Linked DNA regions of Macaca fascicularis. The protein of the gene in region 3 interacts with the protein of the main gene of each other region in a pairwise test. Links are inferred from orthologs where the notes say so. Each region holds a gene or a part of one and is shown on either strand. Other genes may lie near its edges.

Evidence for each region.
Region 1: the proteins of AP1G1 (region 3) and AP1B1 interact in a two-hybrid assay, tested with the Homo sapiens proteins (2 studies listed by BioGRID, with this or other methods). The link is inferred for Macaca fascicularis from reciprocal best matches to the Homo sapiens genes AP1G1 and AP1B1.
Region 2: the proteins of AP1G1 (region 3) and UBL7 interact in binary tests that used the Homo sapiens proteins (3 or more experiments, as listed by UniProt). The two-hybrid records come from large-scale screens. The link is inferred for Macaca fascicularis from reciprocal best matches to the Homo sapiens genes AP1G1 and UBL7.
Region 4: the proteins of AP1G1 (region 3) and AP1S2 interact in binary tests that used the Homo sapiens proteins (3 or more experiments, as listed by UniProt). The link is inferred for Macaca fascicularis from reciprocal best matches to the Homo sapiens genes AP1G1 and AP1S2.

Annotation. Positions count from the first base shown.
Region 1 is NC_088384.1:22,327,102-22,334,845, reverse strand, and holds part of AP1B1 (AP-1 complex subunit beta-1), read right to left. Parts: intron 3,878-7,744; coding exon 3,779-3,877; intron 3,270-3,778; coding exon 3,010-3,269; intron 2,364-3,009; coding exon 2,162-2,363; intron 1,267-2,161; coding exon 1,246-1,266; intron 631-1,245; coding exon 487-630; intron 1-486. UniProt on the Homo sapiens protein: Subunit of clathrin-associated adaptor protein complex 1 that plays a role in protein sorting in the late-Golgi/trans-Golgi network (TGN) and/or endosomes.
Region 2 is NC_088381.1:51,561,540-51,569,283, forward strand, and holds part of UBL7 (ubiquitin-like protein 7), read right to left. Parts: intron 6,995-7,744; 5' UTR 6,966-6,994; coding exon 6,782-6,965; intron 4,914-6,781; coding exon 4,794-4,913; intron 910-4,793; coding exon 827-909; intron 46-826; coding exon 1-45.
Region 3 is NC_088394.1:68,622,338-68,630,081, forward strand, and holds part of AP1G1 (AP-1 complex subunit gamma-1), read left to right. Parts: intron 1-164; coding exon 165-287; intron 288-516; coding exon 517-606; intron 607-1,837; coding exon 1,838-1,965; intron 1,966-4,123; coding exon 4,124-4,228; intron 4,229-5,201; coding exon 5,202-5,343; intron 5,344-5,540; coding exon 5,541-5,667; intron 5,668-7,744. UniProt on the Homo sapiens protein: Subunit of clathrin-associated adaptor protein complex 1 that plays a role in protein sorting in the late-Golgi/trans-Golgi network (TGN) and/or endosomes.
Region 4 is NC_088395.1:15,671,573-15,679,754, reverse strand, and holds the start of AP1S2 (AP-1 complex subunit sigma-2), read left to right. Parts: upstream 1-2,986; 5' UTR 2,987-3,136; intron 3,137-3,280; exon of another isoform or gene 3,281-3,532; intron 3,533-5,288; coding exon 5,289-5,467; intron 5,468-8,182. UniProt on the Homo sapiens protein: Subunit of clathrin-associated adaptor protein complex 1 that plays a role in protein sorting in the late-Golgi/trans-Golgi network (TGN) and/or endosomes.

The DNA.
Region 1 (7,744 bases), on a different chromosome or scaffold from region 3:
TATGTCTCCTCCATGCAGTGAAAGCATCTGAGTATTTTTGGAATGCTGTGTGTAGGTAGGTTACACAGCCCACCAATTGCATTTAAGGAGAGGAACAGTGACAATGTAAAATGTCGATGATGACTAAGGGGTGCTGGGTCTGATGGCACTGAGAACTACTGCTCCCACCTGACAGGCCTCTGCTGATTCCCTGACAGAGGCCAGGGTCTCCCTTCCCTCCAGGCCTTACCACAGGCTGTTCCCTTGGTCTGGAGCCCCTACCCGCTTCTGTTCAGCTAATGAGGTCCTGTGACTCCTCCGGAAAGCCTGCCTAGGCATCCACCAAGCCTGACTTAGCTCCTTTTCCTCGGTGCCCCCGTGGCCCCCAGCTTCCCTCATCAGCGCTGGCCTGAGCCAATTCCACAGCCGAGGCCATTTAAAGGAGCCCACATGCCAATCTCTATAACTTCTCTCTGCTCCTGCCAAGAGAGAAGACAAGTGACTTACTGCTTTGGGGGCTACATATGATCCTGACAGGGTGCCCACGCCACTGGTTAGGTCAAAGAGGTCACTCAGGCCACTGCCGATGGGTGCTCCAAGACTGGCTGGTACTGCTGCTGTTGGAGGTGCCACGAAATTGGTGCCCCCAATCTGGAAAGGGAGGGAAAGAGTCAGAGGCAGGCATCAAGAGGCAAGGACATCAAGGGCTGGGAATGAGTAGAGCCACCTGGCTCTTTAGAATACACTGGGGGTGGGGGGGCAGGACAGCCTCCATATCAACTCGAAATTACAGAAACAAGACAGAGAGAGGTGGGTGGAGTAGAGAGGCTGAGCCCTCCCGTGCCCTGTAAGCCTTGAGCCTTAGAAGTAACCTCTGGGAAAGGGCTGGGGACACTCCCAAATTGACACTCAGCCCATGGATAAAAGGAGGTCCCAAGACACACGGCTGGGTGGAGACCTGCTATGCAGACGGGTGCTCTCCCTCCAGGACATTAGAGAGGGGTTGTGGGACTGAGGGCTGGCAATCCCTGGGATGACAAGGTGACGCGTCATGGGGTGGTGAGGACTGGGCAAGAATCCATGGCTATGGGGCCTAGTGGTAGCCGAATGCCAGCTGGTCAAGACAGAGACTGCCAGGACGCGGGACCAAGGCAGGGGCTCAGCCGGCGGGGGCTGCTTTGACATCACCCGCCCCTTGGGATGCTGGGCCAGCGCTTTCGGGAGGAGCAAGGATGAAGGCTGGGTGACGCAAGGGTTGAACCATACCCCTTCAGGCTCATCCCCCATCTCCAAGCAGAAGCAGGCAGGTGAAGAGAACAGGCAGCCACATGCAGAGAGAAAAAGCCAGGAAGGAAGACAGAGGAACAAGAGAGAGAAGGGAAAGAGGGAGGAGATTAGTTAACAGTAGCTCCATCCGAGAGGAGAGTGGTGTGAGGCTGTGTTGGGGCCTATGAGAGGCCCAGACCCCGTCTCTATGAAAGGCACTACCCCACACATTTACCCCAGCACCCGTTCTGCACCACAGCCCTTCCTGCCTCACCCTAGCAGCGCTAATTGCCAGTCTCCTGCCCCCATGCTGCCACCGTGCGGACCTGAGTCGAGCACAGTCAAATGAAGAGGCTCAGCCACCCCCAGCACCTGGCCCTGCCAGTTGCCTGAGGAAGCCCCAGGGAGATACCCACGTTAGTCTCACCACTCCCCTCCCTACTGTCTTCCCATTCCCCTCTCTCCCCGGCCTCCCATGCCCTCTCAAATAGGCCTGGCTGGGCTTCTGTTCCCAGCTGGGGCAGCATGAAGCTAAGTGGACACAAGTCTGATTCCTCAAAGCTAGGAACACCCTAGCCTAACAGGGCAAAGGTGACTATGATGCCAGGATCAGGGCAAGGGCTAGGATGGGCCTCCCTGCCCAGGATCTCCTGGGACTCGAAGGTCCAACAAGGGAGTGGAATCCTGTCTGCCACTCAGGGGCTGTGCGACCTTGGAGGGAAGGCTGCCTGGCCTCTCTAAACCTTGGTTTTCTCATCATAAGTAGGGAGCTACACAATCACCTCCGAGGGTAAATGGTAAGAGCTCAATATAATGTACCTGAGGCACTCAGCTGGTGCCTGGCATGGAGGGGCGTTCAGTGACTGCTCCTCTGAGGATCATTATCAACATCATCCAGAGGACACCCATGACATACCAGGCTGTCAAGGCCACCGCCAAGAAGGTCCACAGCTCCCATCTGCACTGAGGAGGTGGTCAGGGGTGGGCCGCTCACTGGGGGGCCGAGGTCCAGGTTGAGGAGGTCACCCAGCAGGTCGCCCTGGGCGGGGATGACATCTGGCTGCTCCCCAGGAGGTGCTCCGGCAGGGGCTGTCTCAGGGCTCTCTGCGCTCTCACTCCTGCCGGGACACAGAAGAGAGAGAAGGTCAGTAGGGCGGAGGCATCAGGATGTCTCAGGAAGGTCAAAGAGACCCCAGCCTCCAGGCGCCTCCCTCAGGACAGGCACTGAGTCTCCTCCCTGTCCCCAACAGCGCTGTCCACACGGCCCCACTGCTTCCCCATTCCCACAGCAGGTCCATCTTTCAGGCCCTCTCTGAGGATGAGTGAAGGGAGAGGGCCGCCTGCTTCTAGCCCTCAGCCCATGCCAAGGAGAAAACTGGAAGCCAGTGCCCTAGGATGGTGCCACCAGGTCACACCAACCACCTGGGAAAAGCAGAGGAGGAGGCACGGACAGGGCTCTGGAATGAGACAGAACCGGTCTGAGTCCCAGCTCTGCTAGTTGTGAGATCCTGGACCAGTCCCTCAAGCTCTCCTTGTCTCTTGTTCCCACCTGAAGAATGGGGACATTTGCTCTCAGAGCTGTTGTTAGGATGGAATGAGGTCATCTAGCAAATACCTCATGTACAATAAATAGCTGAGAAAAGGTTGTCAGTTTTCCTCAGACTCAGGCCTTGCCAGGGGACAACACACCAGGCCTGAGTGCCTGTGCTGCTGAACTGGGAAAGCAGGTGTGGAGGCTCAGGCCTACTGGCCAGTCTCACTCACGAGGCCGTGCGGGGTGGTAGGCTCTTGTGCACGACGCCCCGGCCCCCCTCCACAAAGGCACTGGGAGGCTTATGGTAGACAGAGGCCAGTGTGCCGATGTAGCAGATAAGCTCGTCCAGCAGTGTGGGCTCGATGAGGTCCGTCTCTTCAGAGATGAGTGGCTTCTCAGCCAACACCACCTCCTTGGCTGCCACCGGGTCCGTGGAAAGCAAGCGCCAGTAGATGTAGCCACGGTCCCGCAGGTCCGGGTTATCTGAGTCCTTGTGGGGGTGAGGAGAAGCCCGTGAAACTTAGAGCAGCCAGGTGAGAAGGGAGGAGGTTTTCCTGTAGCCATGAGCCAGGTGTGGCACAGGGCTGGCCAATGGGGACAGCACTCCCATGAGCCTGTCCCTACACCACCTACAGGGCCATACCCCGGCATCGGGCTCATTCTCCATGGTGCTCTACTCCAGCCTGGCTGTGCCTGTCTCTACTCCCAACTGCCCACTGTGGCCTGCCCTTCCTGCCCCCAACGCACACCCTCAGGCTTCCGCAGGCTCTCCTCCTCTGTCTAGTTTGTCTCAACTTCACTACTTGACCTCACTGCACTTTGTGTTCTAAGCTCCCTGAAGGCAGGGAGCTTGGGTTACTCTGGGGCTGGAAGCCAGTCCCACCCACAGGATACCTGTCTCAGGAGTGGGCCTGGCTTCCAGGTCTAGTTCCTGGGACAAAAGTTCCCCTGCTTGAGTGAGGGTTGTGCTGGGCACAGTGGGGCGGTTGGGGCACCCACCTGAGTGGCCAAACTGAGGACCTGCTGCACCAGCTCCTGGGTCTCTGTTGGCTTCTTCAGAAAGAGTTTCACGATGCCTGTCAGCAGCTGCAGCTGGACCTGCAGGGAGGGAACAGCGGTGGCGAGGAGGAAGGTGGGCCTCACATGGGGACAGCGGGAGACTAAAAAGGCTTGAAGAGGAAAAGGGTGTTCAAAGTCCCTGGAAGCCAAACACAGCTCTTCTAGGTTTGGGGCTGTCACGGCACACACGCAAAGGGCCACCACAGGTGTTGGTGCCGCTGAGCAGCCAGACTTTGGCATCACTCACTCAGGAAGGAGCTGAGCACTGGACTATTCGGCAAACCCAAGCAGGCCAGGGGCCGCTGCCCAGCCCTAGGGTTCTAGAAACCTGTTGGAGCTCTAGACTTCACAGGACTATGAGAAGCTCACGTGTGGCTGGTATGCTTCTTATTGGGACTACCTGTCAACAAGTGGCGACAGTCCCATGGAGTCCCAGGGGACTGGGGCAGCAGGGCCCACAGAGCCTGCCATCAAGAACCTGTGCTTCTACCAGAGGGTGGGAACCATTCCTGGTGGCCCTCCACTGGCCCCTGCTGCATACCTGGACATACCCAAAGCTGCCCTCATCCTGGCCAACCATCCTTACCCTTCAGATCTCATGCCAACCCCACCTTCAGACCCCCCATGCTTCTGCAGCCTCTTCCATCCCCTCACAGCACCACCAGTTGCTGGCTGTCCTGTGCAGTGAGCTCCCTGTGGGCTGGAGAGATGTCTGTCTTGCTTACTGTCGTGTCACTAATTACTGCCCAATCTAGTGCCTGGTGTAGAGCAGGCACTTAAGAAATACTTGCTGACCGAAGAAACATCTATGCGAGAACAAGTCTTTGCATATAGTCCTTCCTTAGTCACGGTCTCATTTTTGCTAGTCCTAGGACAAGGGGGCAGCCTGAGGCTCCTGGAGTCGGGGGCAGTGGGAGCCCATGGGCTGTGCCAGGGACAGGTCTGCAGCAGGAGGGCAGGAGTGGCAGTGCAGGAAGCCCAGCAGCAGCCGTGCTGGCAGCATCTCTGACGCCTGCCCAGTAGGAGTGCACTTGTGTGGGGAAGGCTGACAGCAGCAGGCGGAACAGAGGGCATGTGGTCCTCCAATTCTGGGACGAAGCGGAGTCTTTGCAATTTGGTTACATGTGGGCCAGCAGCAGAGGAGCAGTAGGCTGGCTGTTTCCGAGGCAGGAGGCAGCCCAGCATCTGGCTTCCAGACTCTAGCCCCTGCCTGGGTAGCCAATGGGAAGCCATTTACCCTCATCTGTAAAGGAGAGGTGTGGCCTACTTCAGGATTCTTGTGAGCTTTAAAAATGGCAACTTAAGGCAGTTTGCTTGGAGGTGGAGTCAGATCACACCTTATTTGAACTCCAGTTCTATGACTTCTCAGCTGGGTGACCCTGGGCAAGTCATTTAGCTTCTCTGAGTCAGTTTCCTAATCTATAAAGCAGTCATTAAATCTCACAGAGTTAATGGAGAGTTGATGAGACCACAAATGAAAAGAAGCGGCCGGGCGCGGGGGCTCACACCTGTAATCCCAGCACTTTGGGAGGCCAAGGCAGGCGGATCACCTGAAGTCAGGAGTTCAAGACCAGCCTGGCCAACATGGTGAAACCCTGTCTCTACTAAAAATACAAAAATTAGCCAGGCATGGTGGCGGGCGCCTGTAGTCCCAGCTACTTGGGAGGCTGAGGCAGGAGAATTGTTTGAACCCGGGAGGCGGAGGTTGCAGTGAGCTGAGATCACACCACTGCATTCCAGCATGGGGGACAAGAGTGAGACTTTGTCTCAAAAAAACAAAACAAAACAGTAAAAAAGCATTGTGTATTCTGCTAAGGAACAGCTGTCATCATCACAGTCATTATCACCACTACCATCACACAGGGACTCTTGAAAAAGTTCTCCCCAACCCAGTCAGCTGGATGCCTGGAATGATTCATCACTGTCAGCTCTGCTGTGGTTCCGGTCAGGTATGCCTCAGGCTGTACTGCCAGAGGGTGGTCTGGCCAGGTGCCCAGGGCCCTGGCTCAACAATCCATTCCAGTTCCTCTCAACACACTCAGGCTGTTAGCCTGCATATTTAGGGCACCCTTCCTGAAATGATGCCATTACTTCTGCTATCCAGACAGAATGGGATGGCAGGACAGGGCCAGATGCAGGCTGGGCTGATATACCACCCTGGCCAAGATTTTTTTTTTTTTTTTTGAGACGCAGTCTCACTTTCCTGCCTAAGCTGGAGTGCAACGGGGTGATCTCAACTCACTGCAACCTCTGCCTCCTGGGTTCAAGTGACTTTCCTGCCTCAGCCTCCTGAGCAGCTAGGATTACAGGCACACACCACCACACCCGGCTAATTTTTGTGTTTTTAGTGGAGATGAGTTTTACCATGTTGGCCAGGCTGGTCTCGAACTCCTGACCTCAAGTGATCCACCCACCTCGGCCTCCCAAAGTGCTGGGATTACAGGCATGAGCCACCATGCCCAACTGCTGACCAAGACTTTCTAAGTCTGCTGTCCATGGCTAGAGAGGCCTAGGAGCCAAGGATGAGAAGATTCAACAAGACAATGTAAAATGAGTTCCATAATTGTCAAGCCTGGTGCAGTGGTGCAGGCCCATAGTCCTAGCTACTCAGAATCCTTTGAGCCCAGGAGTTCAAGGCTAGCCTGGGCAAAACATAGTGAGAGTCCGTCGCTAAAACAAACAAACAAAAAACTCCAAATCGTCAAGCACTCAACAAGTGTTCTTTTTTTTTGAGACAAGGTCTCGCTCTGCTGCCCAGGCTGGAGTGCACTGGTATGATCTTGGCTCACTGCAGCCTCAACCTCCCGGGCTTAAGCGATCCTCCCACCTAGGCCTCCCAAGTAGCTGGGACCACAGGTGGGTGCCACTACACCCAGCTAATTTTTTTTATAGAGATGAGGTCTCACTGTCGCCTAGCTTGGCCTCGAACTCCTGGATTCAAAAGATCCTCCTGCCTCGGCCTCCCGAAGTGCTGGGGTTACAGGAGTGAGCTGCTGCACCCAGTTAACAAGTTTTCTTTTTTTTCCTTTTTTCTGAGATGGAGCCTTGGTCTGTTGCCCAGGCTGGAGTGCAGTTGCATGATCTCGGCTCACTGCAACCTCCGCCTCCTGGGTTCAAGCGATTCTCCTGCCTCAGCCTCCTGAGTAGCTGGGATTACAGGCGCGCAGTATTTTAATAGAGATGGGGTTTCACTATCTTGGTCAGGCTGGTCTCGAACTCGAGACCTCAAGTGATCCACCCGCCTCGGCCTCCCAAAGTGCTGGGATTACAGGTGTAAACCACCGTGTCTGGCCCTAACAAGTATTCTTAAAACAGCTTTGAACTGTGTTGTGAACAAAAGATGCAAAGTGAACAGGCTACTGAATTACATCACACCCCCACAGCTACCATTAAACTGAGTGCTGGAGCGGGCACTTTACACACAATGTCCAGCAGTCTTTGCAATAACTGCACTGGAGACAAGGAAGTGGCTTTGCTGAGTTCACGTAACTGTGCGCCAGGCCACACCACAGGGAGGAGGCTGGATCTCACACTTCAGAGTTCTGTTTCTGTTCACTTCAGAGCTCTGTTTCTGTTCACACCACCAGACTCTTGGCTTACCTCTCCCTGTCCAGCTTCTCTCATCCTGGCTTTTTAGCAGGCTTAGCTGCAAAAGATTGACTCTATGACAGGGGCAGAAGCACACCCCTACAGCAGCGGTTCCCAGCCTTTGTGGCACCAGGGACCAGTTTTGTGGAAGACAATTTTTCCACACATGGGGTACGAGGGTGGGGGGATGGTTTTGGGATAAAATTGCTCCACCTCAGATCATCAGGCATTAGGTTCTCATAAGGAACGCACAACCTAGATCCTTCACCTGTGCAGTTCATAATAGGGTTTGCGCTCCTTTGAGAATCTGATGCCGAC
Region 2 (7,744 bases), on a different chromosome or scaffold from region 3:
AATGATCTGATCCAGAGATTCCTTATTGCTGAGCATCTTAAAGACCTGCAGGAGAAATGGGGAGGGCTGAGCACTCCAACCAACTCAATGCACTCATCAAATGCCCACATTGTGCTGAGGACTTCCTCCCTTTAAGTGCTTGCATGTACATCACCACAATGGAACAATAGCCCCGGAAACAGATGAACCTCTTTTTGGTCTAAGATCGTAGCTTACTGGAGGGGAAACAAACAATTAAAAAAAAAAAAAAGAAAAAAAAAAGGCAAGACCACAGTAAACCTTCAAATCTCTGTGCTCCTTTTCCCCACCTACAGTTTAATGCTTCCAAAATAAAAGCTCTCATTACAAGCCCAGTAACAAAGGTTTCTCTAGGTTCCAAAAGTCCTTTTCAATCTCTGTACAATTACTATTTCATATTTGTATATATTGCTAAGTTCACAGCTGTACTAATTTTGCCTCTCAACTCTCCTACAGAGAGACATCAGCCCACTTCCCCAGTAAGGACAACTAGGTCAAGGGGCAATAAGCAGGCAGTTCAGCCAAAGTCAAAGAACAAGGTCCAGCAGAAACAGTATGTGGATCTTTTGGCTGTCACCGTATGGGCAGGTTGTATGGTTATCATTAGAGGGAATCAGCAATGCCTGACTGAGACAGGCTCTTTGGGGAAAGACAGGGCTCCACTGAGGCCCACAGACATGGCAAAAACTCCCCAAGGAACTCTTGGTTGTCATGGAAACAGGCTTCCAGCTCCCACTCCACACCACTCGCCAGCCAGCGTTCACACCCTCTCCTACAGTCCTGGCTGGGGGCCGTGGCACACACTCACCGCTTCCCTGTAAGAGGAGCTGCTGTGCAGGGCAGTGTGCAGCACCCGGAACTCTCTCATGGCAGCCACTTTGTCCACAGGTTCTGGCGGACAAGACACTCAGAGTTACCCTACAGCACAGGCCCTGTCTCTTCCACAGACATGGTAACATCATTTCAATGTGCCAAGGAGCAGCCTGGTCTGTGCATTCCCTTCCCTCATTACCCCTTAAGAATGTGAGTGCCCACTCAGAAAAACCCATTTGTGCCACGGATGTGAAAACTGCTAGTAAGCATCTTTACGTTCTCTTGTAAGCATCTTCCACAGATAAAACAAACAAATTCAAGTTGTGGCAGAGGAGAATCTTACCACATGAAAAACAGTGCTCTGATCAACATCCCACTGCAGGAATTCCAGACTAATAACATTTGGTTGTTGGTGTTTTTGCCTTTGTTTTTCAGACACAGTCTCATCTCTTGCCCAGGCCGGAGTGCAGTGGCGCAGTCTCGGCTCACTGCAACCTCCACCTCCCTGGTTGAAGCGACTCTCGTGCCTCAGCCTCCCGAGTAGCTGGGATTACAGGTGTGCAATTATCCACTCTTGGATAATTTTTGTATTTTTAGTAGACACGGGGTTTCACCATATTGGTCAGACTGGTCTCAAACTCCTGACCTCAAGTGATCCATGTGCCTCGGCCTCCCAAAGTGCTAGGATTACAGGCATGAGCCACCATGCCCCGCCCTGGGTCACACTTTTTAAAGTATGGTTATCCTCATGAAGGACCACTACTTGTGACTGTACTGACTGTGTACTGCCCTACTCCAGGGGCACCACTCCCAAAGCAAGGTCAATAGCACCCCTGGGGTTCAGTGTGGCAGCCACATCCTTATCGACAGTCCTGATCATGAGGCTGTCTTTTGAAAAATAGTCACCGTAAGTAAATTACCTAATTTATTCATTCAACAAACATGTACTAAGCATTTACTCCATGCCTGACTTTGGACAAGGAACTAGAATGTGAAAAATAAGAACCCCTGCCGTCAAGGAACTCTTACGGCAGTAGGAGAAATGAGACTACATCAAACACACAATTACAAAATGCCACGCTGAGGACCTCAACAGAGATGTGGATCCCAGCTAGGGCACCAGGAACACAAAGGCAGACAGCCACCACTGAGACGGAGGGTAAAGACAGAGAGCTGCCTCCCAGAGGAGACCATTTGAAATGGGTATCAAAGAGAGAGCTGATATTTACTGGGGGGTGAAGGTATTCCAAGCCTAAATGAGAACATGTGCAAAGGCATGGAAGAATAAAAGAATGTGGTGCTTTGAACAAACAGCAAGTCATTCTTTGTGGCTGGAGCTTGGGGTACACATCCCAGCTCAAACAGCAGGCTAATAAGGTGAGGTCCTGAAGGGATTTGTAACCTGCCATGGAGAACCACCAAAGGGATCCAGCTGGGAAGACAGATAACAATGGGTTCTCCTCCTACAGACCCTAATCTGTAGGAGAACACGAAATGTGATTCCTTTGTGAAGAAAAGCACTCAAGGAGAAAATATCTAAAACACTGTCACAAGACAGTTTCTTCACAGATCTAAGAGTTTATTGTAACCTTCCAATAAAAAGGTCATTTGTTTCAAAAATAATCCTCCAGGTAGAAGGTGGGAGGAAAAGGACTCTTAATATCTTAAGCCAGTATTCAGCTAAGAGTCATGGCTGTCACTGTAAGACCTCTGAGCTAAATTCATCCTTTGAAAGTGGAAGGCAGCCAGCCCAGTGGAAATGGTTTTCCTCTTGAGCCAGGAAAACCCCTGGTCCATATCCCAGCTCTTGCATTCACTTTCTAAGTAGCTGACCTTGAATAAATGTCTTTCTAACCCTTTTCTTCCTCCATAAGATGCTAATGCTGTTACCTACCCTGCAGGGCCACTGTAATGATTAAATGAGGTATAAAAGGGAAAAAACCTGGCTCACAGAAGCCACAAATGTTATTTTCCTTCTGTTAATGCCCTCCAGCCAAAGAGCTGAGGGGCATATCTGTATTTAAACTAGTTGGGCGTACTGCTCAGTACAGAGAGAAGAATGAACACCATAGGAAACCATGGGCTGTCTCAGTAAGAGGATATTAGAAAGGACTTCTTGTTTTTTTTTTTTTTTTTTTGAGACAGAGTTTCGCTCTTGTTGCCCAGGCTGGAGTACAATGGCATGATCTCGGCTCATGGCAACTTCTGCCTCCCGGGTTCAACCGATTCTCCTGCCTCAGTCTCTCAAGTAGCTGGGATTACAGGCATGCACCACCATGCCCGGCTTATTTTTTATTTTAAGTAGAGACGGGGTTTCTCCATGTTGGTCAGGCTTGTCTCGAACTCCCGACCTCAGGTGATCTGCCCGCCTCGGCCTCCCAAAGTGCTGGATTACAGGCATGAGCCGCTGAGCCCGGCCAGAAAAGACTTCTTACACGATTTTGGCTTTGTCTGAGTGATTTGCGGAAAAATTTAAAGAAGTGAGGTTTTACTCCGGATAGGATGCTTTCGGCAGTGGGAGTGATTTTATAATTGAGTATTTTAATAACTCTTACCTAGAAGGAAGGAAAACTAGAGCAAGGTGGAAGCTGTAATTGGCAAAGAAGCAGCTATTACTCTCATCAGCCGAGATAGAAAGATACTTGGTCACTTTTGTGATTTGGATAATGCTCATGTTTTTGTCTCTGTTCAGCAATGATAGGGATCTTGTTTTTGTCTTAATCCATAGTGGTCTCAGAGTGGCCTTGACTGATATTGGGGATCTGTACAATTGTTCATGTTCCCCAAAAGGACACCAAGGCCTGGCTGTGAGTGCCAGGCCAACCTCTGGATGTCAGGAACTCCGTTCCTCTTTCTCACTTCCCATCAGAGTATGAAAGACATTTTTGTCTTTTACGGTTAGAACTGAAAGGGGGGTAAATTTCAAACTGATAACTAGTCACAGCAATCATGAACATTATAAAAAGATGTCAACCTGCCAGTTTAACAAAGCTAATCTCTTTTACACAGCTTAGCTTTATTCTTGGGGAGGCTTTTAAAATACACATGCAAAATTTAAATCATGAATTCCAAGCACCTTCTATTTATAAACCAAAAAGGCATCCGAGGCTTTGTATATTTTCTCCAAGAGCTATTTAAATACTCTTTGAATAGCTTCAGGAAAATAAATTACCAGTATAGCAAGAGCAGTTAGCTGACTGAACAAATCACCACCTGAGGCAGTTTGTAGGAAGATTTGTTAACAAGGGAACAAACTGGGGCATTAGGAAAGTGCCAAAAGTTTCCAGTTTTTTTCTAATGAGAACAACAATAACAAAAGGATACAAAGTTTACTTTGTATCACTGAAAAATAAACTGTTAACTTAAAGGAGTTTAAGTAGACACAAACTCACTATCCCATTAGGAAACAGTGGATGACAAACTTAGAAAGTGGAGAAACAGTCAGGAATGGTGCCTGTACTTTGGGAGGCTGAGGTGGGGCGGATGGCTTGGGTCAGGAGTTCGAGACCAGGCTGACCAACATGGAGACACCCCGTCTCTACTAAAAATAAAAAAATTAGCTGGGCGTAGTGGCACATGTCTGTAATCCCAGCTACTCAGGAGGCTGAGGCATGAGAATCACTTGAACCCGGGAGGTGGAGGCTGCAGTGAGCCAAGATCAAGATTGTGCCACTGCACTCCAGCCTGGGCAACAAAGTGAGACTCTGTCTCAAAAAAAAACAAAAACCAAAAAACAAAATGGAGAAACAAATCTCCCATTAGTGATACCAGCAGTAAGAAGGTCAAAATTGGACTCTGTTTATCAGCATGGTTTAATCCAATAAGTAATAAAGATATCATTTATCATCAGCTCAGTAAATCATCCCTTTGTTCCACCCAGGCTTGTGTCTCAAGAACACACAGACCTTTCCCTTGCAGATATTACAGAAACTCTGCCTGCTTAAGGGCTGACCCTCACTCACCTGGTTTCTGATCAGGTTCGGGCCAGGACTTTCGCAGAACATGGACGGTGGACCCAGGTTGAATACCATAGAAGTCAAGTGTCTGGTCATCTTTTAGCTTCCGACCACAGTAGATCAGATCTAAAAAAAGAACTGTCCACTTACATTTTGCTCCTCAAAACAAATTTAGATAGTTTTTGTTCCCTGAGAACCTTATTTTGATTGGATAGATAGCTGGAGAATGATACATGTTTTAAAAGATACTCTTATTTAATAACTTAATACTTTTTTTTTTTTTTCCTTAAACAGGGTCTTACTCTGTTGCCCAGGCTTGAGTGCAATGGCACCATCACGGTTCACTGCAGCTTCAACCTCCTGGGCTCAAGCAATTCTCCCGCCTCAGCCTCCTGAGTAGCTGGGACTATGGGCACATGCCACCACACCCAGCTAATTTTTGTAGTTTTTTTGTAGAGATAGGGTTCTGCCATGTTGCCCAGACTAGTCTCTTAACTCCTGGGCTCAAGGGATCCTCCTGCCTTAGCCTCACAAAGTGCTGGGATGACAGGCGTGAGCCACCACGTCTAGCCAATTAAATACATTTTAACAACTATTTGCAAATATAAACTCATAAAATGGACTTACATAGAATCTGGCCAGATATGGTGGCTCACGCCTATAATCCCAGCACTTTTGGAGCCTGGCCAACATGGCGAAACCCTGTCTCTACTAAAAATACAAAAATTAGGGCCGGGCACGGTGGCTCACACCTGTAATCCCAGCACTTTGGGAGGCCGAGGTGGGTGGATCACCTGAGGTCAGGAGTTCAAGGCCAGTCTGGCCAAGATGGTGAAACCTCGTCTCTACCAAAAATACAAAAATTAGCCAGGCATGGTGGAAGGTGCCTGTAATCTCAGCTACTCAGGAGGCTGAGGCAGGAAAATTGCCTGAACCTGGGAGAAAGAGGTTACAACGAGCTGAGATCGTGCCACTGCACTCCAGCCTGGGTCACAGAGCGAGACTCCGTCTCAAAAAAAAAAAAAGAGGATTCACATAGAATCTATCCATAGAGAAGCTCTAGAGTTTAACATTGTGGAGACTGCCCAATTTAAATCAATGGAAAAACAACAAAATAGGATGAACTCAATCCAGGTATGACTGAAAACATCTTTTTTGCCAGTTGGATCCTTTAGCTATTATAAATTACCTTTCCAGTATAATTTAATTATATTTAAATTCCTCCCTCCTCCACCTGGACTGCTCACGCCATTTTCATTTTCTTTTTTACTGCCTTTCTTTTAACCAATCAACCAAGCAAATCCTCCTAATCATCCCTTAAGACCTACCTCAAATATACTGAGGAGCCTCCCCTGACCAACTTCTCCTTCCCTAACTCACCCCAAACGTCTGTTCTTTCAGAAAAAGAATTCACAATGTTGGCCAGGAGCGGTGGCTCATGCCTGTAATTCCAGCAGTTTGAGAGGCCAAAGCGGGCAGACCACAAGGTCAAGAGTTCAAGACCAGCCTGGCCAACATGGTGAAACCCCATGTCTCTGCTAAAAATATAAAAATTAGCTGGGCATGGTGGCACATGTCTGTAATCCCAACTACTTGGGAGGCTGAGGCAGGAGAATTGCTTGAACTGGGACCCGGGAGACAGAGGTTGCAGTGAGCCGCAATCGCAAAACTGCAGTCCAGCCTGGGCTACAGAGCAAGACTCCGTCTAAAAAATAAATAAAAAATAATAATAATAAATAAATAAATAAAATAAGACAATGTCATAAAGAACCTGGTGATAAAGTACTTCAGTATAATACATGGCTGAAAATGGCAACCAGTAGTTTCATTATATGATTTGTGTTTCTATTTACCCAACACTCACTTCCCTGGAGTGTTAACATTATGAGGCAACAAATCCCAAGCCCTTACTTTACTTACTCTTGTAATTTCAGAAGTATCCTCCCCTAAAAGAGATCAGAGCAGCAGCCCAACCCCATTCCAGAGAGACTCACCAATCAGCTCAGGGTCTGGAACAGACTCCTGGAGTTTGCCAGCAATAAGCTGCTTCAGAAATGAAATACTATAGCCCCCAAGCGAGTATTCTCCCAGTTCTGTCTCTGGCAACCGAAGAATAGACTTTGGAGCAAGTGGCTGGTCAGCCAGCTTCACCGCCAAGTGCCAGTCTGAGAGAGACATCCTCTCTCTTTCGCGCTCTCTCTTTCTCCCTGTAAAAGAACAAAGCCTCAGTGGTTAAAAGACAGACCACCACCCTACTCCACCCCCACCCACCAAAGGGTTGAATAAAAGACAATTCAATGTGACACTGTTGAAGAAGCACAGGGTGCACTATCAGGAGGCCAGAACTAGAATCTGGGGTTCTCTCTCTACTCATACTGTGATGGACAGCTCTCTAGGCCTCAGTTTCTTCATCCCTAACGTGGACATAAAAACGCCATCCAACCTAATAGGAATGTTATGAAAGAGATCATCTAACCCTCTCCCTTCTGTATGCTCCTTTTCCCAATTTTCTTCAACTCTTGCTTGAACCAGTAGAACAGCTTTATAACAAGTTCCCTAACTCTTGCCTCTCCCTATCAAATATCTGTGCTGCCACCTAACAACCTATCATTCTAAAACACAGATCTGATCAAGTCACTTCTTTGCTTAGAACTCTTCCAATGTTGGGCTGGGCGCAGTGACTCATGCCTGTAATCCTAGCACTTTGGGAGGTCTAGACAGGCGGATTGCCTGAGCTCAGGCGTTTGAGACGAGCCTGGCCAACATGGTGAAACTCATCTCTACTAAAAATACAAAAATTAGCCGGGCATTAGTAGTGCACACCTGTAGTCCCAGCTACTTGGAAGGCTGAGGTTGCAGTGAGCCAAGATCTCACTTCACTGCACTCCAGCCTGGGTGACATGAGACTCTGTCGCAAAAAATAAATAAATAAAAATTAAAAAAAGCAAGCCAGGGGC
Region 3 (7,744 bases):
CCAAGATCGCGCTTTTGTACTCCAGCCTGGGTGACAGAGCGAGACTCTGTCTCAAAAAAAGAAAGAAAGAAAGAAAAAAGAAACACACAGTAATAATAATAGCTAACACTTGTTATCATCACTGCTGTGTGTTTCTAGGGGTAATTGTCTGCATTTCCTTTTAGGCAGGAAGTTATGTTCGTGATGATGCAGTCCCCAATTTAATCCAGTTAATAACTAACAGTGTGGAGATGCATGCCTATACTGTCCAGCGCCTGTACAAAGCAATTCTTGGTGATTATTCTCAAGTAAGTACTTCATTCAGCTATTTTAGCTAAGGGATAATTTTACTCTCAAATTTTCTGGTATATTTTTCTTCTTTTTTTTTCCCCTCCTCTCTCCCCTTTGGTATGTCTTTATTTCTAATACTCTAGATATGCACAGTTTTGATCTTTATTATGAGATGACCTATTATTTGCATTAAATGACTTTGGAAAAATTGAAGTCCTTGAGAAATGTTGACTTTTCTTTTCACAGCAACCTTTGGTACAAGTGGCTGCATGGTGTATAGGTGAATATGGTGATCTTCTTGTATCTGGCCAGTGTGAAGAGGAAGAGCCTATTCAGGTACTCCTTGTCACTCTTGGTTAAGTGGGGGAAAATAGTGGTTTTGGTTATAGGAGAGTAGTGTTTAATGGGGAGTTGAGGTTGATTCCTTGAAAACTTTTTAGGCCAGGTGTGGTGGCTCATGCCCATAATCCCAGCACTTTGGGAGGCTGAGATGGAAGCATTGCTTGAGCCCAGGAGTTTGAGACCAGCCTGGGCAACATGGTGAAACTCTGTCTCTACAAAAGACACAAATATTAGCCAGGTATGATGGTATCTAGTCCTAGCTACTCAGGAGTGAGACCCTGTCTCAAAATATTTTAAAAAATATCCAACTTTTCAAAGAATCGAACTAGAATTATATTGGAAAACCTGCCAATTTTTGAAACGGAACTTATTGAGCCATTGTGAGATTTTTTTTTTTTTTTTTTAAAAGACAGAGTCTCACTCTGTCACCCAAGCTGGAGTTCCGTGGCAGGATCACAACTCACTGCAGCCTTAATCTCCTGGGTTTCAAGCGATCTTCCCACCTCAGCCTCCTGAGTAGCTGGTACTATAGGCATTCACCACCATGCCTGGCTGATTCTACTTTTTATAGAGACAGGATTTCACCATGTTGCCCAGGCTGGTCTTGAACACCTGGACTCAAGCAGTCTGCCTGCCTTGGCCTCTCAAAGTGTTGAGATTGACAGACGTGAGCTACTTTGCCCGGCCCCATTGTAAGATTTTAAAACCACTTTAGACCCAACTCTCTGTCCTAGTGGACTGAATTAATTGTTTCTCTTACCTTCTGGCTGATAAACAGGAAGAAATGAGACATGTGTCTATGTTCTTATTGGCACATTAAAGGACTGGCTTTAAAAGGGAAAATTTTTAAATTTTCCTTTAAAAAAGGAAAATTTTAAAATTGCCCTTTTAAAAGGCAACAGCACTTAAACTCTGTATGTTTTTCTTTTCTTCTTCTGTTTCTGCCACTTGAAGTTCTAATATTGCTTCTTAGCCCCAATGGTCATTTTTCACTCTTTTTACCCTCACCTGCTGTAGTTGATAGAACCAGAGCACTTTTTTTACCCCCATCTACTCTGTTAATAGAACACCTTGGACAGTTACCCTAGTAAAGCACATGTTGAGTTAGAGGCTTTTGTAATGGTAGGATTGTCTTTCTGGCTGCATCCACTGACTTAATACCAGATTTAGATGCCTAATCATGCTACTCATTCTTCATTGTCTTCTTTTTCCTCCTCCTCCTCAGGTAACAGAGGATGAAGTATTGGATATTTTAGAAAGTGTCCTAATCTCTAATATGTCCACCTCTGTGACACGAGGTTATGCCCTCACTGCCATTATGAAGCTTTCTACTCGATTCACTTGTACTGTAAAGTGAGTATTGAAGAAACACAGGGTGAACAGGTTTTGTAATTAAAAACAAAACAACAAAAAAAACTTGACATCCTGGAAATTTTCAAGCATAACAAAAGTAGAGGGAATAATAACACAAATTTGCATTACTTATTTCTCAACAGTCACAATGATCAATTAATAGTTAATCTTTATTCATCAGCACTTTGTTCCCTCTCATTCTTTTACTCCCTTGTGGATTATTTTGAAGCAAAAAAGTTAGGGAGTTTTGTTTGTTTGTTTGTTTGTTTGTTGAGACAGGGTCTCGCTCTCTTACCCAGGATGGAGTGCAGTGGTGCCATCATAGTTTACTGCAACCTTGAACTCCTGGGCTTAAGGGATCTTCCTGTCTCAGCCTCCCGAGGAGCTGGGACTACAGGTGCACACAATTGTGCCTGGCTAATTTTTAAATTTTTTTTTTTTTTTTTTGAGACAGAGTCTCGCTCTGTCACCCAGGCTGGAGCGCAGTGGCCGGATCTCGGCTCACTGCAAGCTCCGCCTGCCTCCCGGGTTTACGCCATTCTCCTGCCTCAGCCTCCCGAGTAGCTGGGACTACAGGCGCCCGCCACCTCGCCCGGCTAGTTTTTTGTATTTTTCTTTTTAGTAGAGACGGGGTTTCACCATGTTAGCCAGGATGGTCTCTATCTCCTGACCTCGTGATCCACCCGTCTCGGCCTACCAAAGTGCTGGGATTACAGGCTTGAGCCACCGCGCCCGGCCAATTTTTTTGTAGAGAAAAAATTTTTAAATGTTTTTGTTTGTTGCCCAGGCTGGTCTTGAACTCTTAGGCTCAAGCGATTCTCCTGCCCTGGCCTCCCAAAGTGCGGGGATTACAGATGTGACCCACTCCACCTGGCCTAAAAGTTATGTTTTTAGAATGAGATTTCTAATAACCTTTTTTTTTCTTTTTAAGTTGAGAATCTACTTCTCCACATAAAGGTTTTGGTTTATTTGTATTTTATATTTCATTTTGTTTGATGACAGTTTGCTCTGTTGCCCAGGCTGGAATGCAGTGGCATACGATCTCGACTCACTGCAACCTCCACCTCCAGGGTTCTAGCAATTCTCCTGCCTTAGCCTCCCGAGTAGCTGGGATTACAGGTGCGCACCACCACGCCTGGCTAATTTTTGTATTTTTTGGTGGAGATGGGGTTTCACCATTTTGGCCAGACTGGTCTCGAACTCCTGACCTTGTAATCTGGCCAAGGTTTTGGTTTTTTTTTTTTTTTTTTTTGAGACGGAGTCTCGCTCTGTCGCCTAGGCTGGAGTGCAGTGGCCGGATCTCAGCTCATTGCAAGCTCTGCCTCCCGGGTTCACGCCATTCTCCTGCCTCAGCCTCCCGAGTAGCTGGGACTACAGGCGCCCGCCACCTTGCCCAGCTAGTTTTTTGTATTTCTTAATAGAGACGGGGTTTCACCGTGTTAGCCAGGATGGTTTCGATCTCCTGACCTCGTGATTCGCCCGTCTCGGCCTCCCAAAGTGCTGGGATTAGGTTTTGGTTTTTTATATTTTGACATGTCTTAATAGGAATACAATCATGAATGTTTTGGTGATTAAATATTTTAATTCTTCTCTTTGCTATTTTGAATAAAGTAGATTCTCAGGTCAGTTTCCCATATTTAAGGCAAACTTAGTTCTTGTAGTCTTTCTGCTTTACTTTTAAATGTGAAGTCTTATAAAAAATGGTATTGAATTACTTTTAAAATTCTGAACTGGAAGAATGTGGGGTCAACATTTTGATGCTCTGACCCTTTTATAGATTAAAAATTATTTTAAAATTATCAAAGAAGAGAATGAACAGTACAGATTTTTTTTTGTGGCAAAGTAATAGTTGGTACTTTTGTCTAGCAAAGTTTAGGGAGTGGCATATATATAGGTTTTTTCCACACCATCATTGCTGCAGAATGGGGGCGGCATGTTTAATGGACAAAAATCTAGTGTTGCAATGAGAATAGTACAATGTGAATGTCAGATAAATGGATGAAAATGAAGTGTTTTGTTTTTGAAAAATTATATAAATTAAGAAAAGATGAGTATTTCAGTATTATAACCAGAAAATTCTGGCTTATTAAACATTATCTCTGCTTATTTGTGAATTTTCTTTTGGTTATTTGATTTTGTTTGTCATTTTATCCTATAGCCGAATTAAGAAAGTGGTTTCCATCTATGGAAGCAGCATTGATGTGGAACTCCAGCAGAGGGCAGTAGAATATAATGCACTTTTCAAGAAATATGACCACATGAGGTGAGCGAAAGAAACTAAGTAATGCGTGTATATCTTAGTATCCTGGCTAAATTGTCATGGTAATTCATAAAGAAGATTCATTCCTTGTGCTTTATTAATTGGTCCTCATATCCCTATTTAGTTCTAATTGCTTGACTGCTTCTGTTTTGTCCGTCTTCTGTTCTGCCTAGTCTCTAAAGAAATAAATTAACTCCCTTCTTTCATTCCACCTCCAACCCTTACATTTTTTTGGTATGGAAATTTTGCTTTATTTTCTATTTTATTTAGTTAAGAAGTGGGAGGCCGGGTGTGGTGGCTCACGCCTGTAATTCCAGCACTTTGGGAGGCCAACGTGGGCAGATCACGAGGTCAAGAGATTGAGACTGTCCTGGCTAACATGGTGAAACCCCATCTCTACTAAAAATACAAAAAAATTAGTTGGGCGTGGTGGCGCATGCCTGTAGTCCCAGCTACTCGGGAGGCTGAGGCAGCAGAATCATTTGAACCTGGGAAGTGGATGTTGCAATGAGCCAAGATCATGCCACTGCACTCCAGCCTGACGACAGAGTGAGACTCTGTCTCAAAAAAAAAAAAAGTAGGAGTTGTATTTTTTCAAGACAAATAATCTCATTCAAATTCCATTACTGTTAACATTTTAGTGTTTGTCATCTTGTTTTCTTCTATTATGCAGTATCTTCTTGACTGTTAATACCTATGGATTTACCTTTCTTTCATCTCAATCTCCCTACCACTGAAATATATGCTTTGGGATTTAGCTGGACAGTCTGTTTATTCAAGATTTTTTTGTCTGCCCTTAATCCAGCCAGGAATTTAGGTCATGTATTCTTGTAATCTACCTTCTATTTTAGTGTGTGTGTTGGATGGGGAGGGGAGATGGAGCTCCATGCTTGGGCTCAACATAGTTAATGGTGATTATTTTGGGTGGGGAATCTAGGTTAACTGCCTAGAATTTAACCACTTCAGATTCTTCTAGGTCTGCTCTACTTGAGAGAATGCCTGTCATGGAAAAAGTGACCACAAATGGCCCTACTGAGATTGTGCAGACAAATGGAGAGACAGAACCAGCTCCACTAGAGACCAAACCGCCACCCTCTGGGCCACAGCCCACCAGCCAGGTAGCCAGCCTTTCACTTGCTCATCTGGGGCTTCTTATGATTTTATAGTCCCTTATAGCTTGTCTCTTAGCTGAGTCCTTTTAATGTTCCTGGGTTGGTTGATGATTTCCTTCCTTATTTTTACATATTGAAAGAGCTTTGCTTTAGATGTAAACTAGACAAATAATAATGAATTGAGGTGTTGTTACCTTGTTTAGGCCAATGATTTATTGGATTTGTTGGGAGGAAATGACATAACACCTGTTATTCCAACTGCACCTACAAGCAAACCATCTTCTGCTGGTGGAGAACTTCTTGATTTGCTGGGAGACATCAACCTTACAGGTGAGGCCAGTCTGGAGCTATTTAATACCTGGGAAAAGATAGAGGCCTTGGAGAAAAACTAAACTGAACCCAGACTTTCCAGCATGTGAATCATTTGAAGATGGGAGAGGCTAAATGAGAAGCAAGAATCAAATCTTCACAATATCCGGGTTATACGTTGTCATGCTAATGCTCTTAAGATAATTTATAGGGATTTCTTAAAGGCAAACTTCTAATTTGGGGTGAATAAATTATTCATAGTTTTTTAAGATAGAAACTACTTTCCCTGGCCGGGCACAGTGGCTCACGCCTGTAATCCCAGCACTTCGGGAGGCCGAGGCAGGCAGATCACCTGAGGTCAGGAGTTCCAGACCAGCCTGGCCAACATGGTGAAAGCTGTCTTTATTAAAAATACAACAATTAGCCGGGTGAGTTGGTGCATACCTATAATCCCAGCTACTCCGGAGGTTGAGGCAGGAGAATTGCTTGAACCTGAGAGATGGAGGTTGCAGTAAGCCGAGATTGCACCACTGTGTACTGCAGCCTGGATGACAGAGCAAGACTCTGTCTCCAAAAAAAAAAACTACTTTCCCTTTCAAGCTCAAAAAATATATCCTGTATCACCTTTGCTTTTAGTGTCCCAAGACATGACTTCTTCTTGGTGTCTTCCCACTCATGGTTAGTTTTCAGTAGCTGTGACCATTTGTGGAGAGATGTTAACCTACTGCCTACCTTTTATCTTACTTCCCTTCCACACTTTCTGTAATTAAAGCAACTGAAGGAGCAATCACTCATAATATTGAAACATAACTTTTCATTTGGGAATATTTTTTCTTTTGTTCATATATAACATTCATTTGTAATCGACATGTTCAGCAATATGATAAACCCGAGTCCAATACAACTTTTTTTTTATTTTTAGTTTGAGATGGAGTCTTGCTCTGTTGCGCAGGCTGGAGTGCAGTGGTGCGATCTTGGCTCACTGCAAACTCCACCTCCTGGGTTCAAGCGATTCTCCTGCCTCAGCCTCCTGAGTAGCTGGGATCACAGGCGCGCACCACCGTGCCCTCCCTAATTTTCGTATTTTTAGTAGCAGTGGGGTTTCTCCATCTTGGTCAGGCTGTTCCCGAACTCCTGACCTCATGATCCACCTGCCTCGGCCTCCCAAAGTGCTGGAATTACCGACGTGAGCCACTTTGCTCGGCCTTTTTATATTTTGAGACAATCTCACTCTGTCAGCTAGACTGAAGTGCAGTGGCGTGATCTCAGCTCACTGCAGCCTCTGCCACCCGGGTTCAAGCAGTTCTCCTGCCTTAGCCTCCTGAATAGCTGGGATTACAGGTGCCTGCTACTGCGCCTGGCTAATTTTTGTAGTTTTAGTAGAGACAGGGTTTCACCATCTAGGCCAGGCTGGTCCCAACCTCGTGGTCCACCCGCCTCAGCCTCCCAAAGTGCTGGGATTACAGGCGTGAGCCACCGTGCCCAGCCCACAACTTCTGTCCTAAATTGCAGTGTAAAGTATAGCTGAAAGGTTAAAGTGCCTTTTTTTTTGTTTTTGTTTTTGTTTTTTGGAGACAGAGTCTTACTCTGTCAGCAAGGCTGGAGTGCAGTACAGTGGCACGATCTCGGCTCACTTCAAACTCTGCCTCCCGGGTTCAAGCAAACCTCCTTCCTCAGCCTCCTGAGTAACTGGGATTATAGGTGAATGCCACCACGCCCGGCTACTTTTTTGTATTTTTAGTAGAGACGGGGTTTTGCAGTCCTCTTTAAAAGGATAATGGAGAGTTAAAGCGTACCTGACCTTGAGTAAAAAATAGACATAGGATAATAAGTTGAATGGTTAGCTAAGCTCATTCCCACAGGCTGATTTTTTTTTTTTTTTTTTTTTTTTTTTGAGACGGAGTCTTGCTCTGTCGCCCAGGCTGGAGTGCAGTGGCCAGATCTCAGCTCACTGCAAGCTCCGCCTCCTGGGTTTATGCCATTCTCCTGCCTCAGCCTCCCGAGTAGCTGGGACTACAGGTGCCCACCACCACGCCCGGCTAGTTTTTTGTATTTTTTTAGTAGAGACGGGGTTTCGCCATGTTAGCCAGGATGGTCT
Region 4 (8,182 bases), on a different chromosome or scaffold from region 3:
GTATCTAAAGAATATGCTAACAATTCTAGTTCGTGATTTATTTTAGATGTTATCTATTTTCTTCCCTTTAGCACATGAGGATTTAGCATTATTTCAACCTCCCCTCACTTCTGCTCCTCCATAATATCAATATATTACAATTTTTCTTTAAATGTTTAAATGACGAGCTGACAGTGTATCCTGACATCCTTTATCAACATCCTCATGTAAATGTTCTCTCTCTTATTTTCCACGTGGGTATGTGTTTTAAATAGTCCCTTTAAAAAAAAATTTAATGGTATTTTGAGAGAGTGAGAGGATAAAAGTATATGGCCATCACACAATTAATAGGAAACTAAAATTATTTTTGAAAACTTTGGAAAGATTACATAAAAAGTCTCAAAATTTTATGGTTAGAAGGTAAAGATTTCTATTTTCCCCTCACCTCTTACATTTAGCATAAATGACAGTGAAGCATTTTTTTCAAATCTAAGAAACAAGTATAAAATCTGATTTTTAATTTTTCATGAAACGAATTTTGTATATAATTCTTATATCATTATTAATACCAATAAATCAGGACCATGTGGAAAACAAAAACAGAGGATTAGAAAAGATAACCAATTGACATGACAGATGAAGAAGATACTAGGTGAGAAGAAACATGTATATAACAAAGCCTACCATTGGGAAATTGTGGGAATCAAAGTCAAGCAGTTAATTACTAACAAAGATGGCAACCATGTTTCTTTTGTCTTTCACAGTGAATGCATAATTAGCACTTAATACTAAGACTAGGGAATAAACCATCTATAATCTACTGAAAAAGACCATCTGCTTCTATAAATTTTGTTCTCATACACTTGCCAAAGGAAGAGAACATATTAACAAAATAATGGGCCCTGCACTGGTAATTGCTAGGTTGTTTGCAGTTGTGCTGCTGCTATTAGAATTTAATAAGCCATTCCTTCTGCTAAATTAATAAGCAGCCAAGATTATGTAATAGCTGCTTTCAGCTGCTAATTATTTTTCCCACAATTCCTTCCCCTCCCTACCCCTACCCCCACCTTTTTTTGGCTAGGAGCAGGAAGGGAGACTGCCAGTATGTCATCAGCAAGTCTCCCGTCCTCATTTTCAGAGCCACAGAGCAACATTAGGAGGATAATCAGTTTAAACTTGGAGGTGGCTATCTCAGGAACCTTGAGGATGTAAGTGTTTTGTACAGAAAAAGAGAAAAGCAGCATTTGAATTCAGAGGGCGAGTTTTCATTGTGTAGCATTAGAGCTATCTTTTCACTGGTTAATGGCATCTGTTTCTTGTAGTAAGAGAGAAATGGGACATTTGAAAGTACCTTTGGGGCATGACTGGGTAGGGAGAAATCTGTTGGGGGCGAAAGGAACCTAAAGAACTACAGAAAGTCAGCTCTGTGCCATGTGTCATCCCCTTTCTTTAATATTCCAGTATACATTAATCATACATGTTAGTAGGAGACTTTGCAAGCAGCATAGTAGTGCTTGAAAAGGGGAAGTATTACACATTTTTTTGTTTTGTCATACAAAGGCCTTTTTTAAAATGCCCCCAAAACTACTGTCTTAGTTTCGTAGATACTAAAATGCACACAAAAAGAATATAATTCCTAATAAAGGATTCCTTTACATTGATTACATTTAGCTTCGTGAAAAAATTAGCATTTCTTTTACTTTAGGCCATTAAAAAAATTCTGGCGACTACACCTAGGAACCTTTGCAAAAGGGACATGGCCCAACAAAAGCAATTTTCTCGCTTCCTTTGTAGGAACCTAGGTGACTCGGATAATGAATAGCATGCGATATGGGAAACCCGTGGCTCTTCAAGGAAGGTCACCTAATCCCGTGGGACTCCCCTTTCCTTATCTGTAAATGACTAGATGATTCATCCATTCTATCATTCAGAAAATTACGAACATCCATTATGCCCCGGCATTACGCTCAGCATTACAGCTCTTAACAAATTTATCATTTTATGGTCTTTATCAGTCAACTCACATTTATTGTGTTATACACCAGGCAGTGAACTAGACTGGGATGCAAAATGAATACAACTTAAGGTGTGCTAAATAAAGGCTAACGGGCATGTGGGTGAAAGAGGGAATCGCTCTTACAGGGTTTTAGGGTGAGGCTTCATAGGAGATGTGACATTTGAGAGCAAGGACATGCCAGGCACAGCAAGTCGTCGGCAGTGCTAAACTGGAACCCAGGCGGCTGGTGGGGCGACCCAGTGTGAAGGAAGCGGGATCTCGAAGGTGAGGTGCTGTCCGGGCTTTTCAGCCGAACGGATGGTAACTCCGCAGCACCGAAGATGGGCGAGGCGAGCCCAGGGAACAGACTCCCGCGAAGCTTGGGGCGAAAGGTGTCTGGGCTAGGGCTGGAGCAGTGCAATGGGAAGGAGAGGCCGGATTCCGGACAATTTTGAGGCAGAATGATAGCAAAATGCCCGTGAATGGGTGACGAGCTCCACAGAAGAGCTGACTTGTTTTTCCAGAGTTGCAGCACTCCCTCGTCTCCTCCCATCCTTGTCGTCAGCCGTCACACCTCCCCGACCCACCCTCTGGGGACACAGAGAATCATTAGAGCTCAAACGAGGCTCTTCGCTGTCTGGAACTTCCCGGCCCCGCACCTCCGGCTAGGCTGAGGACGCTGCAGAATCCCGTCCTCCTATCATTAAACAGGCAGCATACCCGCCCGCGCGCGTCCCGGAGGCACCAGCAGGAGTGCGCGGGCGCGCGGGCCCGGCAGACGCCGCTTCCGGGTCACGTGGCCCGGCTTCCGGTTCGCACCACCCCCTCAGCAAAGAAGCCTCCAATCGGCTTCCTTGGATTCAGCGGTTACCTGCGCTGCCTCCGGTGCCGCTGGCAACTGCTGAGCCGCTTCCCGCGCGTCGCCTAGCCCGCCCCTCAGCTCGCCGCAGCCCCGGCTCCTCCCTCGTCCGGCCCCCGGGGCGGGGTCTGTCAGCTCGCCCTCCCCTCTCCGCCTAAGCCTGCCCTCCGCCAGCCGGGTCCCCTCCCCACAGCACCACGGCTTCTCTTCCTCAGCACGGCGACAGGGGCTTCCCCTTAGCCGCCGCCGCCGCCGCCGCCGCCGCCGGCCGAGCTCCGCCGCGCCCGCGGCCCGCGGCCGCCGTAAGTCCCCGGGGACGAAAGGGGGCGCCGGGGATGGAGAGGGGGAGGGAGGGCTGGGCGCGCCCCCCGCCACCCCGAGCGCGCCCCGCGACCCCACCCCGAGCCTGCCCGGCCCGCCACTGGGTCGCCGCGCCTGCAACTCACTTCTCTCAGGGTCCGCGTCCTCCGCACCACTCCGCGCCGCGCCCGGGGATGTGGGGGCCAGTCCCGGGCTCCGCGACAGCCCCGCGGCACCTGTGGTTCGGGAATCGCCTCAAGTTTTGCGGGGCGTTTTCGGGAGGGGCCGGGGGCGGTGGCGGCCGAGGACTCTTGGCGCCCCCTGCGCGGCGGCGGATGCCATTGTCTGCTCCGCTCCTTGCCTGTCACCTCGCCCGGGCTTGGTCAGTGATGGAGTGTGGCCACGGGAGTGGGGGGGAGGCACCGGCGACGGCCGGACCCGAGGAACGCTGGCCCCGAGCCCGCGCCGCGGCTGAGCCCATTGTTTTTAATGCCAATCTCGAGGAATTGTGGTGCCCTGTGATTTGCGGCAAAATCAAAGCGCTGGTTTTTAACACGAGGGAAGGAATACTCGTGCCTTGCAACCGGGTTTCGTCCCATGTTAGGACATAATTTATTTTAAGGAGAATACATTGTTTTTTCGTCCTGCAAAGTGGTAGGGCGGGTACAGGACCCTGCTCCAGACAGCCTTGAGCCCATACTCTTTGCAAGCAAACCCTCACCCTTTCTGGTCACCAAGATCTAGGAATACGAGATCCATTCTTTTCCAAGTTCTGGTAACGGGTTTGCAGTAAACGTCCAGTTGATGCTTCACTTGCTGCTCCCTTCGAATGCCGCTATCTTCAGGACTTGCACGGGAGGCACTTTGGTATCATCTAATAATGTCCTTATATTTTGTTCCCCTGACGCATTTTAAGTGAGGTAATAAGACCATTTTAACTTTACTAAAGTTGAATTGCCACGTCATAAATTTCTAGATATCTTGTTGATACCTTCTTGGGTGGTTATAAAAAACGACGATAATTTCTTACCGAAATTTAGGGCCCATTTTTATTCTACATTGGTTCTGTAAATTTCCCCTCCCCGTCTTCAAATTCAAGATGGTGTGGTGAATCTTGAGAATCATGCTTGAATCTTACTTGCAGTAACGCTGTTAAAGGAACTTACAGTGGTTAAAAGAAAAAAGGATACCTATGTGAATTCTGGCTTTAAATTACCTTTGTAGAAACAATACTTCTGTTTGCAGTTGAGATGACCAATTGAATTACAAAAAGCTTGGGTTAAAAATGAAACATGCAGACTAATCAACACATTTGCGATCACAAATAAATACATACAAATTAGTTTAAGTAATAAAACACACTAGAATTCAGCATCCACTCTATCTGTAGATACTATTTTTTTTAAAATATTTCATGTAATGTTTCAATACTAAATCTTATTTAACAAGTGTAAATCTTATTGTGGCCTTTTAAATGTTTGTTTTCTTTTTCATAATACTACATTAACTCAGTTCTAGATTTTGTACATATTTAAGTTGGAATGTTTTAAAAGTAAGATGAAAACATACTTTTTTATTAAGGAAAATTTGTAGTTATGAGATTTTTCGGTTAATATTTTGGATCATTCTGTTTTGCTTGAAATATGCCATCATAAACCGACGAGAGCATTCTAAGATATAAGCTACTGTCTACAAGTAGTTCACCCTGGAACTAGAACGGCCTCAGGGTGAAAAATAGCAGGTCTTCCGTTTCTTTCAAAAATACCCAAATCAATTGATGTCTACCATTTTCTTTTGATACATATAGAGAGTGCACAATGTATAGCACAGGTAGAAAATAGTTTCTTAAATTGAAAGAGTGGTCTTTATTTTTCTTCAAAAATTTCGCTTCAGCTTATTACAAATTTTTCTTTTTTCTCTTGCACACTCCCCTCCAAACTTAACGTGGAACAGGGTGGGATTGGAAGGTTTGCATCTAGAGAAGATCTGTCCAAAAGAATTTCTTGCTATTTTAATTGGCATAGAAATATTGATGGCTAGTAATCATTTGTCATTTAAATGCCCCATCCCCCAAAGCTTCTCTGTGAAACACATAATCTTAACTTTATTGATTCAAAGTATTACATGTAATCTTGATTTTATTTATCTTAACAGATGCAGTTTATGTTGCTTTTTAGTCGTCAGGGAAAGCTTCGACTGCAAAAATGGTATGTCCCACTATCAGACAAAGAGAAGAAAAAGATCACAAGAGAACTTGTTCAGACCGTTTTAGCACGGAAACCTAAAATGTGCAGCTTCCTTGAGTGGCGAGATCTGAAGATTGTTTACAAAAGGTATAATTTTTATTTATCATAAAGGTGAAATAGAATCAAATGTTAGGTCATTTAGGAAATTGCAGACTTTTGAGTGATGACATTTCTAAATAATGATTAATAAAGATTTAGATGAAATAGGTTTAAGGTAAAGCTTTGTGTTTTTAAAATAACTGGTGTTTTCACTGGTAATTACTGAGGCTGGAATGATAAAGGCAGGGAAATCATTTGAAAACTAGTTATATAATTGAAGGCATAAATGATTATTCATGCTTAATCATCTTTATAGAAGAGTTTAATGAATTCATTTCATTGCAGGGGAAAGTAGGGTCAGTATTTTAAATTGTGTGAGTAATTATCTGAATTTAGACAAGTATAGATAGTCTAATCCTTTTTCTCCGAAAATCTATAAAGCAATGACTAATATTTGTCATGCCTTTTATCTGATTTTTAGAATCTTACGTATAAATACCTTGAATATGTAGACTATTTCAATCACATAGCTGTTTTAAAAACTTTATGTGTATAAGAGATCTGTTTGTGAGTAGTGTTTATTAACTTTAAGTACCCTTGTTGCTATGGTGGGGGTGCAGTTAAATATGACAGATAATTTTGCCAAGGACAGGTTTTTTTAAATTTTGATGTTACAAAATGACTCATAGATTGGCTTTTAACACTGAAAATTTTTTTAATGCTATACATCTTTATTTTATAAATATCTGAATCCCTGAATGCCCTAAAATAAATTTCTCAAGATTGTTCTAAGTAGGGTAAAAGAAATAAACTTTCTTCTTTTACAGAACATTTTTTGAGGGGACATTTACTTCATTCCCCATTTGTTTCTTTTTGAATTATTTACTGAATTTAAGATAAGAGCATTTCTGCATATAAAAAGTTCTCTTGTGTGGGGAATATGCATGGAAGTAACAGTATGGGATAAAATGAGGGTGGGAGAGAAGTCTGGTTTTCTTCTCAGCTTCTATTTATTGCACTCCAGATACGGGTTGGATATTTTGTCAGGGAGATGGCTGGGAAGAAATGGAGATGACAAGACATAGAGAGTTTCTTAAATATTGAGGACTCCTCTTTATTATTGAATGATCTTTGGTGATTTAGTATCTTTGTGTGATTTTGTATCCAGTGTTTGGTTTGGTCTTATTAAAGATCATAGAAAAATCATATCATTTGAGAGGTGAGAGATGTTTTACAGTAATCTAGTCAGGTGATTTTGTTCTGTTTTGTTTCGTTTTAAGCTTTTTGCCCCATGGGTAGAACCTTAAATAAAATGACTGGAAGTGAGGCTGCTCCACGTAAAATCAGAAACGGGGATCCTGTATCCTGGCTCACTTGGCCTTTACCCCTCTGCACAGGAGACAGTTCTGAGTTTGAAAACTGCCGTTGTTGATCAAACTTCAATTTTTTAATGAATGCGAATTTGGGAGAGGTGACTTGTCTAGGGCCATATGCCAGTTAGTGATTGACCTGGGGCTGCAACTCAGATCTTAAGCTTGGAGGCAAAGATTTTAAACAGGGCTGGAAAAAGATCAGGTTTACATATCTTAAAAGACTGAACTGGGACAATGGATGAGGGCAGGAGGGGCTGAGACTGGCACCTACAGAATCAGTAGGAGACTATTTGAGATCCTGAACCCATTTGCTGGAAAGGAGGGCTATTACTAAATAGCCATTATCAAATAGGTAGGTTTGATAAGACTTGGTCACCTCTAGAAGTGGGAAGAACATGGGAGGCGGAGGCAGGAGAATCGCTTGAACCCAGGAGTTAAAGCCCAGCCCTGGCAACTTAGTGAGACCCTGCCGTCTCTACAATAAAAACAAACAAACAAACAAAAAAGTTAGCTGGGCATGGTGGCATGCACGTGTAGTCCTAGCTGCTCTGGAGGCTGAGGTGGGAGGATTGATTGTGCCTGGGAATTCAAGGCTGCACTGAGCCCTGATTGGGCCACTGCACTCCAGCCTAGGTGACAGAGTGAGACCCACAACAACAACAACAACAAAAAGTGGAGAGAGCAGCGAAGGAAAGGGAGGAGTGGTGTGACCTCCACATTTCTGGTTTGCTGATGGGGTACAAGGTGAGCTAGAGAACTCAGCTTATTTTGGGGCAGGTTGATTTGGGGATGTCTATGTGACTTTCATTAAGAGAAGCCTGATTTTCTGGTGGGATGTGGTTGGCGTAGTTATGGAAGTCTGGGGAAAATAAGACAAAGTATTAGATCACCAGCATTCAAGTGGCAGGCAAAGGAGGTGAAGAAGGGACCTTCAGAGTGGAATGAGAAGTTTCACCAATGCCAGATGTTGCATAAAGTTCAATGAAAGTGAGGAAGGAATCTGGTAGATTTTACAGTGAGCATTTCATATAATGCCCTTTGCCAGATCATTTTCAGTGGAATAGTGGAGATAGAACTCTCGATGTAATGGGGCGAAGTGTGAAGAGGTGGAGAAATTTAAATAGCATGTGTAGACTATTTTGGGGAACTTAGCTGTGAAGGACAGGAGACGAGGTGGTAACCACTCATAGACATAGGAATAGGGGACAAGGTTTTTAAAAAAGAAGGTGTGAGAGGCTTAAGCTTATTTCTAGATAGGGGAAGGAGTCCCCCGTGTGGAGGAGGAAAATACCAGCAAGGGATTCAATCCCAGGAATGGGCTTTTATGGGAAGAAAGGAAAGCACTGCTTGGTGTTCATGTACATGTCACTCAGCCCGTCCGTCCGTGTTG